Caenorhabditis elegans: one gene and its partner. The protein of the gene in region 1 purifies or fractionates together with the protein of each later gene. This does not show direct contact. Each region holds a gene or a part of one and is shown in the gene's direction. Other genes may lie near its edges.

Evidence for each region.
Region 2: the proteins of W04A8.3 (region 1) and fbxa-111 fractionate together in Caenorhabditis elegans (co-fractionation; one large-scale study listed by BioGRID). This does not show direct contact.

What each region holds. Positions count from the first base shown.
Region 1 is NC_003279.8:13,844,142-13,848,868, reverse strand, and holds W04A8.3 (F-box domain-containing protein), read left to right. Parts: upstream 1-1,911; 5' UTR 1,912-1,942; coding exon 1,943-2,022; intron 2,023-3,260; coding exon 3,261-4,119; 3' UTR 4,120-4,130; downstream 4,131-4,727.
Region 2 is NC_003283.11:16,946,457-16,951,391, reverse strand, and holds fbxa-111 (F-box domain-containing protein), read left to right. Parts: upstream 1-1,682; 5' UTR 1,683-1,717; coding exon 1,718-1,758; intron 1,759-1,810; coding exon 1,811-1,888; intron 1,889-1,937; coding exon 1,938-2,517; intron 2,518-2,565; coding exon 2,566-2,733; 3' UTR 2,734-3,280; coding exon of another isoform or gene 3,281-3,321; 3' UTR 3,322-3,508; coding exon of another isoform or gene 3,509-3,989; 3' UTR 3,990-4,039; coding exon of another isoform or gene 4,040-4,234; 3' UTR 4,235-4,250; downstream 4,251-4,935. Other genes in the region: fbxa-112 (DUF38 domain-containing protein), read left to right, coding at 3,281-3,321, 3,509-3,989, 4,040-4,234.

The sequences.
Region 1 (4,727 bases):
GCCGCCCACCCCTGTCCCTATTCTCCTGAACCCCTGAACTAGTCACGGAGGAAATAATTTAAAAAGCCCATTTGCCGCTTCGACACATTTGCAAAGATACTAAATAGTTTTTTGAACAGAGAAAACGTTTATAGTTCGTTTCAATATTAAAGTTGATAAACTATAAATTTAAATGATAAATTCGGTACATATATTAATCAATTTTTTTGAAGTTTCTTGGCATTTTTAGAATTAAAAAATTAATTTTGGCGAATATGTCGAAAAGGCGGCACATGCCGATGTGCCGAGTGGAAACATTTTCGGCAGCACATACCAAACCTAAAAAACTTTACAAGTCAGATGAAAAAAAAAAATTTTTTTTGAAAAAAGGAAAAAAAACTGTTTTAAAAATATATCAAATTTTGTTCAAAATTTTCTTTTTCAGTTTTCAGTTTGCAGTGCTTGTTTATCACATCATAGATCTCAGTAGTTTATTTGTTTTTTTTTTTGACGTAGCATACTTCTTTCGAATACTTTTAAAATCAATTTCAACGCGCTTTGTATTTCGTTCCAGAAAAATTAGCAATTTTTTACCATATCAATTCCCCCAAAATCCAAAATTTTTATTTTTGTTTTTTTTTCCTTTTTTTTTTGGGACGAAAAAATTTGCAAAAAAATTTTCCCGTGGAGGAGAGTTGAACTTTTCAAAAAAAGTGCAAGTCTGTTTATATAATGCTGAATATAACTGCACAACATGATTATTATAAAATATGCGATGGCAGCCATGAAGATAGGGTTTTGTACAAGGGAAAAGACACAAACAAAATTCTCGAGTCTGTCAAGTTTTTTAAAGATACCTTTCGTTGTTATAATAGATGCCTAAATCTGTCAATAAGTCACCGAAAGGAAGAGGAAGCCCGTCAAATGATAGATGTCCTGAAGGTGATGAATATGGACATACCGAATATAATCTTCATTCATGAAAGTATTACAAATGATATGTTCAAATGGCTTGTAGATACTGATTCACGTTGTTATCTAACCATTTGTGTTAGAAAGCCTAGATATCGTATTTTTCGATTTCATGAAAAAATTTCAATTTATCCACTAAATTAACTACATCACTCCCTATGTTCTGTAATTGGTTTCAAGAGTTGTTATCCTCCATTGCTTGTTTCATTTCCACTTTCCCAAATAATAAAATTGCTTTGAAAAGTCGTCGAATGTCTATTTATTACTACCTACCATTTATGCTACTGTTACTAACTAGAAATGCAAAAATTGTGATTTTTACAGAATTCGACATTAAAAAGTACGAGAAGTTCGATTGAAAAATTCAACAAAAAAAAACTAGTAACGGGCGGAACCTATTATCGATTTTTCTCTCAAATTTCCCGTATCTTTTCATAATTTGAATTAGCGGTTGGCAGCAAACGATTATACCGGCAAATCGGCAAATTTCCGGACCTGAATAGTTCCGGCAAATCGGCAAACCCGCAAATTGCCCATTTGCCGAATTTGCCGGAACTTAAAATTTCCGGTGAATTATGGGTTTGCACTTTGTTTTTGAAATTTTCAGAATTTCTATGTTAATCGGCAAAATCGTACGCATTCTATGAATGTTCCTTCATCTATTTTGAAAAGTAAGAAAATTCTATGAAAATATCTTTTTAAAAAAACGGGAAAAAAATTCAAAAAGGCAAAGTTTTAAGTGTTTCCGTCTTATAAAATTATCTCTAAATAGTTCCGGCAAACCGGCAACTTTTCGATTTGCCGAATTTGTCGACAAAGAAATTTGCCACCTGAAATCTACCGACTGAGCAACCCTCCGCAGGCAGGCTCTGTTACGCACACCTGCTCTGTGCAGGCTTATATGCACCAAATTCAGATCGATAATAGATATGCATGCACAGAGTGTCTTGTTGTGTCCCCAGTTATTCATCGATCTGCCATTCTTTTTTAAATGTCTCCACCATTTCCAATATGCAAACTTCCATCATTACCACTCAAAGAGGCACTTGATGGTATACCGACCTATGATTTGTAAGTTATCTTTTTTGTTTAAAGATGGGGTACCGAAATCTGAGAAATATTTTTAAATCACTCCAAATTTTCCCCTGATATCGAATATCTAAGTGAAAAAATTCAAAAAAATTTCCCTGATTTTATATGTCAGCTTGAAATCGCTTGTGCATCTATGAGATTTTTTCGAATTTTCGCACCATGTGTCGATTTACGAGATTTGTGTATATTTACGAGATTTTCAATCTTGTCAACAATTTTCCTTCATTTACGTTGATTATTGACCTAAGAATTGGAAATATTGTTAGTTTTTTGTTAATATAATGTTTAAATTTATGCAAAAACCGATGTAAATAAAGGAAAATCGTTGAAAAACGGAAAATCTCGTAAATCGACACTTGGCGCGAAAATTCGGCGTTTGAAAAATCTCATGGATGCACAAGCACGGGGTTCTGGCATTCCTCATTAAATTCTCCGCGCTCCATTGACAATCGCCCGCCGGACAACGTGTGGGAGAATCGTGTTCTCCACACGGACAAATACATTTAGTTTTACAACTAAGATCGAGCCGCGACGCGACACGCAACGCGCCGTAAATCTATCACAGATACACGTGGTCGCTGGCTGTCTCAAAATTGCTATTTTCTCGCAGACGAGAAAACGTGAAAAACTGAGCAAAATGTCCTTCAAAACGGTGGAAGAGGAGTATTCCTCGTCCCCCGTTCACGTAGTCCTCTCGGAGAAGAAAAAGCGTGAGAAAGAAGAGACGCAGAGGACGAGACAGTCTCATTCCTCGTCTATTCTCAATGGGGCGCGTTTTCATCGAAATTATGCAAAGAGACAACCATCGAGCACGTGCAGATATGGCGGAGCCAAAATGGCCTAGTTCGGCAAACTCTTACATTTCAATTTATGAGGGAAACCAGAAATCCGTGGCACAAGCGATTTCAAGGTGACATATTAAGAATCCATGAGATCATGAGAATGCCTACCGTTTTGGCGCGGGAATATCTCGTAGCGAAGGCACCTAAATCTCTCTTTGCCGCACGCTCTCTCTGCTGCCGTTCGTTTCGCGCCAGGAAACAGGCATTCTCATGAACTGATGGTCCCTTAATATAAAATCAGGGAAATTTTTTTGAATTTTGTCACTTAGATATTCGATATCAGGGGAAAATTTGGAGTCATTTAAAAAATGTTTCTCAGAATTCGGTACTCCATCTTTAATGGTATTTCATGTATGTATATATAGTTATTTTTAGGTTCACTCTTTGTTTCACGTCTCAAAAAACGAAACAACTTATTAAAAGAATCATCAGAAATTTTGAAGATCGCGAAAACGAATGCAAAGCAACTAGAGTAAAAGTAAACATTGATGTACAACCTGATTACATTGAAGTATTCGATGATTTCTCCGAAAAACGAGTGCTCTACAGAGGAAATTACATGAAACAAGCTCTGGGAACTGTCAAATGTTCAATGCATATTCATACCTTTGAACTCGAAGCGCTCTTCATTAATAGTCATCGAAAGGATATTGAAGTTGAACTCCGTCAGCTATTAAATTTTCTGAAAACGGAGGCTCTACACTTACCTAGATTAAAATTCAAGCATGAACACATATCCAGCAAACTTTTAAAACGTATCCTAAAATTCGATGTGTATTATTTGGATATTCGTGTCATCAAGCCAAAGACCATGAAATGTGCCAACTGGAAGGTCCTCAGCAAGTACATTTCTGTCAATTTAGAAGGTATCAATATTTCCAGTAAGCAAGCCAACAAGTTTCTGAAAAAGCTGAAGGAAAAAGGAAGACTAATGTCATTTTCGGCAACCAACATGAAGAGCAGTCTTGTACCATCTGCAGTTGTGAAGGGTACGAGGTCAATGGAAAATATGGAAATTTCGGATTCAGCAGAAGTGGAACGTCGCTCTGTGTTCAATTGCTTTAGGCCTTCATTTGTAAAGCCAGAGTACAAGTTCATGATGAGGATCACTGATTATTGGAACGAGGACATTGTAATTTGGAAACATGGCTTTAAATTTACATTTACAGATCGTAATCTTCCTTTTTTTCCTAATCTTCCTGTGTCTTCCTGTTGCTGTATCAATGTCAATTAAAAAATAAACATTTAAATTTACTGTCTTGATATTTTTAACAGTTGTCACGTTTGCTTTGATCTTTGAAAAACGCGGGAGAAGAGACGCAGACATCTCATCTGACTTTGCATGGTTAAGATCGTGCTGACGTCACAATTTTTCTGGAAAAATATTCCCGCATTTTTCGTAGATCAAACCGCAACGTGACAGCCTGACACCACGTGAGTTGTTAGACTAGTTGTTAGACTCCAATCAATTGAGTTTGAATTGAATTTTATTCCTTTTGGAGATGCAGCTGCACAACTTGCATCCTGCTAAAGTTTTCAAAATAATATGCACTTTAATGTTTTGCCTATTGGTCGGATAACGACTTTCGCCAATTTTTTGGGCATGTTCAAGTTTTTTGGGGTTTCTGGGATGTTGGTATTTTACTGCTTTCGGAAGATTATGGCATTTTCACAACTTTTTTCCAAGAGATCCCTTGAAAGTTCGGATTGCCTCCCACCGCCTAAGCTTAAGCCTAAGCCTAATCCCAAGATTAAACCCAAGAGAGCGGCTGGTCTATAATATAAAGGGGGTTGTTCCAAAAAATCCTCTTTTATGCCTTCGTGTCGAGAGTGTGACAGAAG
Region 2 (4,935 bases), on another chromosome or scaffold:
TTTTTCTTTGCTGCTTAGCGCTCTGACAGTCAGGACAAAAAGGATTAAAGGATGTTCCGTTCTTGAAGAGTTATGCACTGTGGATCTGGGAATCAGGTACAGTATCTGGTGGTGGTCCCACTTGGCTATAATTTAAGCCACGTCCTAGCCGGGGACTGTGGCCGATAATCCAGTCGTGGATTGCTCCACTTCCCAATAGAGGCTAGGTGAACCTAGGGGGTGAGGCCTGGCTTGAACTCGTGCCCTACAGATTGCTAGCGGCCACCACTACCGACTGAGCTATCTACCCCCACAGCAGAAATTTCTGAAAATCAAAACTATCGATCTGGAGACCTTTGGGATCAATCAGTTTCCCATTGTTGTGCGACAGTAAAAAAAGGTGAGGGATAGGTCGATAATCGGTCATCTCTGTTGGCTTTCTCTCGGGACAATCTGTTGCGCCATACCTATTTAATCCAGTTTTATCTTTACAAGATGCCTATGAAGATCTTTAGCAAAGAAATTCTTTCTGATCATTTGATTCAGCTAAGGAGGAAGTATTTTGCTATTTTTTCTTACTTTATCACCTAAAGTAGGAACATAAAAACTTTTCCGTAAATCAACTATCTGTTTTGAACCGAATTGAGAAAACAGATTTACTGCGAATGTGTCTGATTGGAGGTATCTAGCTGCAGTTCATCGTAATACCTATCTTACCACATTTCAAACCTGAAGTTCTCGTAACAATTTTGATTGAACAATGCGGTGTGGATATTCGGGAAACATTAAAGAACCCTATGATCTTTCTTTTAGATACTGGGACAATCAATTGCGCCATACATATCACAGCCAGTTACATCCTTGCGAAATGATTTTGAAGATCTCTAGGAAAAAAGTCATTTTTATGAAAAGCTAAATTTATTTTTCTCCGCCCGGATGTTTGAAGTTTTACAATCGGAGAAAAAGTCTGAAATGTATTACATCCATTAATATGTCTTATAGTTAACAGTCTATAAACTTCCTAGCAACAAAAGTTTTCCAACCTCCACTGGCGTGCAAACCGATCGATCATAGTGAGAAATGGAATGATAAATGGTAAAAAGGCCTCGAATGAGCGCTCTCGCCGCCTTATATACGCCGGCGAGAGACGCAGAGAAAGCAGGGAAATTAGAATCCGTGCGCGCCCGCTGTGGGTCAAGATCAACTCTCCTCCTGTGTGCGTGTGGGTCTAGTATTGAGCGTGTGCAGTCGATGAGCGTGAGCGAATCGTCGGAACTCTGTAAAATACTACCGTAAAGAAGGAAATAAATGTATTGATTTATTTAGCTTATTTAATGATCGAAATATGAGGTCGAGTAAGGCAAAGATCCTTACAACATCCATTAATATGTCTTATAGTTAACAGTCTATAAACTTCCTAGCAACAAAAGTTTTCCAACCTCCACTGGCGTGCAAACCGATCGATCATTTCGAAACCGTAAAGAAAACAAACATCCTTGAGTGTTTAAAAGTCTTGTCTGTGTATTTTATTGAGTTACACCGAACTTTTCTCTTGCTCATCTTATCTTATCCTTTTTCTTTTCAAATAGTTGCAGGCTCCTTTTTAAATTTACTGACCATATCTTACAATAAAAGTTATTTTCCTTCAGTTTACTTTTAATTTGTCTTTCTCAACTGTCATAATATTCCTTATTATTTTTCCAGAAAGTTACGGCTCTTCATCTAATTTCCCAAAAAAATGACCGAAAACCTGACGAAACAGTTGAATTCTTGCAAGATGTTAGTTTTTCAACAGAAATATTATTTATTTCAAAAAACTTATGTTTTTCAGCGCCCACGCTCCCTCGCTATCTGGTATGCCATTGGATATTATCAACAGGATTCTTGACAAGTTGGATCCAATCTTTCGGTATACTTTTTTTTTGTTAATCCACCTAATCTGAACTATTTTCCAACAGATTTTCTCTCCGGAGAGTGTGTCGGAATCTGAGAAACGTCATTGATAACAGAGACCCGGAAATTGAGCAAGTACATGTTCTTTTCCAGTCAAACCAAAGTGTTCTTACTATCAACTCAACATTTGAGTTTGACTACAATCTGTATGCTATACTGGATGATTTGGCAAGTTTGTGGAAGAACCCGAAACTTCAGTTGAAATCATTTTATGCCTCAACATCAGGAAAACATCAGGAAACTGTAGTGGATTCGTTTGAGGAAATTGCTAGATTAGATTATCAGATTCACTGCAAACATTTTGGACTTTATCTGTTTGAATTTGATGATGTGTTAACTTTCTTGCCCCTTTTTAAACCTGGAATTCTAGAAGAGATTGTCATAACTACGTTCGAGCAAGTAGGAAACGATGAAGCATTTGATATAATTGAAACGGAACAATGGAAACAAGCAAAATCAATTACTTTGCATTCAATGAACAAATTGAGTTACTTCACTTTTCCCATTGAAGACCTTTTTCATCTGTGCAAATTCTCTGTGTCACTAGAAGAATTAACAGTTTTTGATGCACTTAAAATCAGAAATGTGAGCTTTAAAAACTTGTATTCTAAAAGCCAATCGAATTGTTTTCAGATTCTCCTGAAATCCGTACATTTTGAAGCTGGTCAAATCAATGTAAAAAACAAAATCCAGGATGATGTTTTGAGAGTTTTCAACCCAGAATTCAACGATAATATTTTTCGCTATGACAATTTTGAACTCACTTTTAAGTTAAATTCGTTGAACGTTAAAAAGATTTAAAGAAATCTTTTCTATTCTGGTTGATTTTTTCAAATGAAAATTAACAATTTGTTTGAAAAATATGCCGCTTCAACTTCAGAAGTACACAGTTATTTTCTGTAAAGCGTGAAAAAATGGCATCTTACAAGAATACAACTGATTCATTAGGTTGGTCATTTTGGTCTGATCAGTCGTTCTCTGAAAAATATTGAGAGATAATGAGAGAAACACTGAGTAAATATGATACACAGACAATCCCTTGAAAAATAGCTCATAGGTGTTTGTTAAACAATGAACATTTTTAAAGTGGGTGGAGCTTGTTAGGTTTTGTTGCTAATAGTAAATTGAAATTGCTTTTATTTTTTCTAATTTAAACTTTCAAAAGGTTCACTTTTTTCTAGAAGTCTCTAAATCTAATTTTTCTTTTTGACACGTTCCTGAACTTTCTTCATAGAAGTTTCAAGAATGTTCCAGAGCAAGGTTTCTGATATGATATTTTGCTCACTTGTGCGTGCTCTTCGTTTATCAAGTGTGACAATATTCTCTGTTAGTTTTCAGAACCCGAAAAATGACCGACAACCTGCTGAATCAGTTGGAATCTTGCAAAATGTTAGTTTTTTTTTCAAATATTTTTTACCCGAAACGCAGAGAAAGCAACATCATAAACATATCTATGTAGATCAAAAAAATTCCATGCCAATTTCTAAAACCAGCAAGATTGTTGACAAAATGGATTTCAAAAATAAGTAATATAACCTCAGTTTTTGTCATTTGAATCAAGATAACAAATTTTCAGATGTATTCTCCGCGGCGTGTGCAAATCGAAGAAAAATACTCATTTGGATTCACTCCTGGGGTGTTTATCAGTGTTGATGAAGAATTCGGAACTTCAGTTGGATTCATTGGATATCATAGTTTACCACAATCATAACACAATAGTTAAGTGGTTCGAAGAACTAGTCCAATCGAAAAATCAGACTCACTGCAAACATGTCCAACTGGTGGCACCTGGAGTTCAGCGTATGTTATCTTTCTTGTCCCATTTCAAACCTGAATTTCTCGAAACAATCATTATTGCACAAAATGGAGTGGAGAATTCGGGAGAAATTTGTAAATTCATTGATATAGTTGAATCGGAACAATGGAAACGAGCGAAATCGATTTATGTCTATTCAATAATCTCCTCCAATTTTCCAATTGAAAACCTCTTCCATCTGACCGTTTTCTGTGTTCCGTTGGGAGAATTGGCAGTTTCTGATGCAATTAAAATTAGAGATGTGAATTTAAGTACTTTTAATATTTAAATTAATCTAAGACTTGTTTCCAGATTCTTCTGAAGTCCGCTCATTTCGAATATGGCCAAATCGATGTGAAGGAAAACATTCCGCAGGAGGTTGTGAGAGTTTTTGTTCCAGAATTCAATGATGAAATCCCTCGCTATCGTTCTCGTGGGCTTGAATTCAAAGTCGATCAATTTCAACTCACATTCAGCTTTAACTCGGTGATAATCAAAAAGACTTGAAGAAACCTTTTTATTTTCGATTGTGATTGTTGTTCTCTTTTCAATTGGAAATGAAAATTTTTTTGAAAATACCGTTTTTTAATTCGGTCTCGATACCGTCACCAATATGGCGAGTCAAATAGTTGAAGAACACCTTGTTGCAGTAGGTGTGTTCGTCATTGAATAGATATTGTGAAAGATCCACTTGGTACACTTGGTGACAGGTTGTCCCATAATATATGTATCAGCACACTCTTCCGTAAAAAATCAGTTGAGAAGTCTGAGTCTAGACGCGTCTGCAAAATTCCCGCAATTCTCGGGCATCAAACCGATATGGGGCATTCTGACAACACGTGTACGTTTAGATACAAAATGCAGAATGACAGTTAATTGTGGGAAGATGACCTCATTTCGGAACGATCTATATGTGCAAACTAATCCAGCCAGATGTTCAGAAATTTTCCAAACAAAACTACAGCGGAAGTAACTGAAAAATGCATTCCACTACAAACTTTCTGTTTTTTTTTCAAAATTATTTCTCATTTTATTGTTGAATTTAACCGTTTTTTTGTATTTTTCAAACTTTGTTTAGAGTACGGTAGTTCGTAAATTCCGCAGTGTGTTTGCGGACCGCACCCTCTATTTTACGATCATTGTTTTATTGTTTATTTCGAAACGTTTTCAATCTAATTTTCGATTAATTTCTGTTCTAATATGAAAAA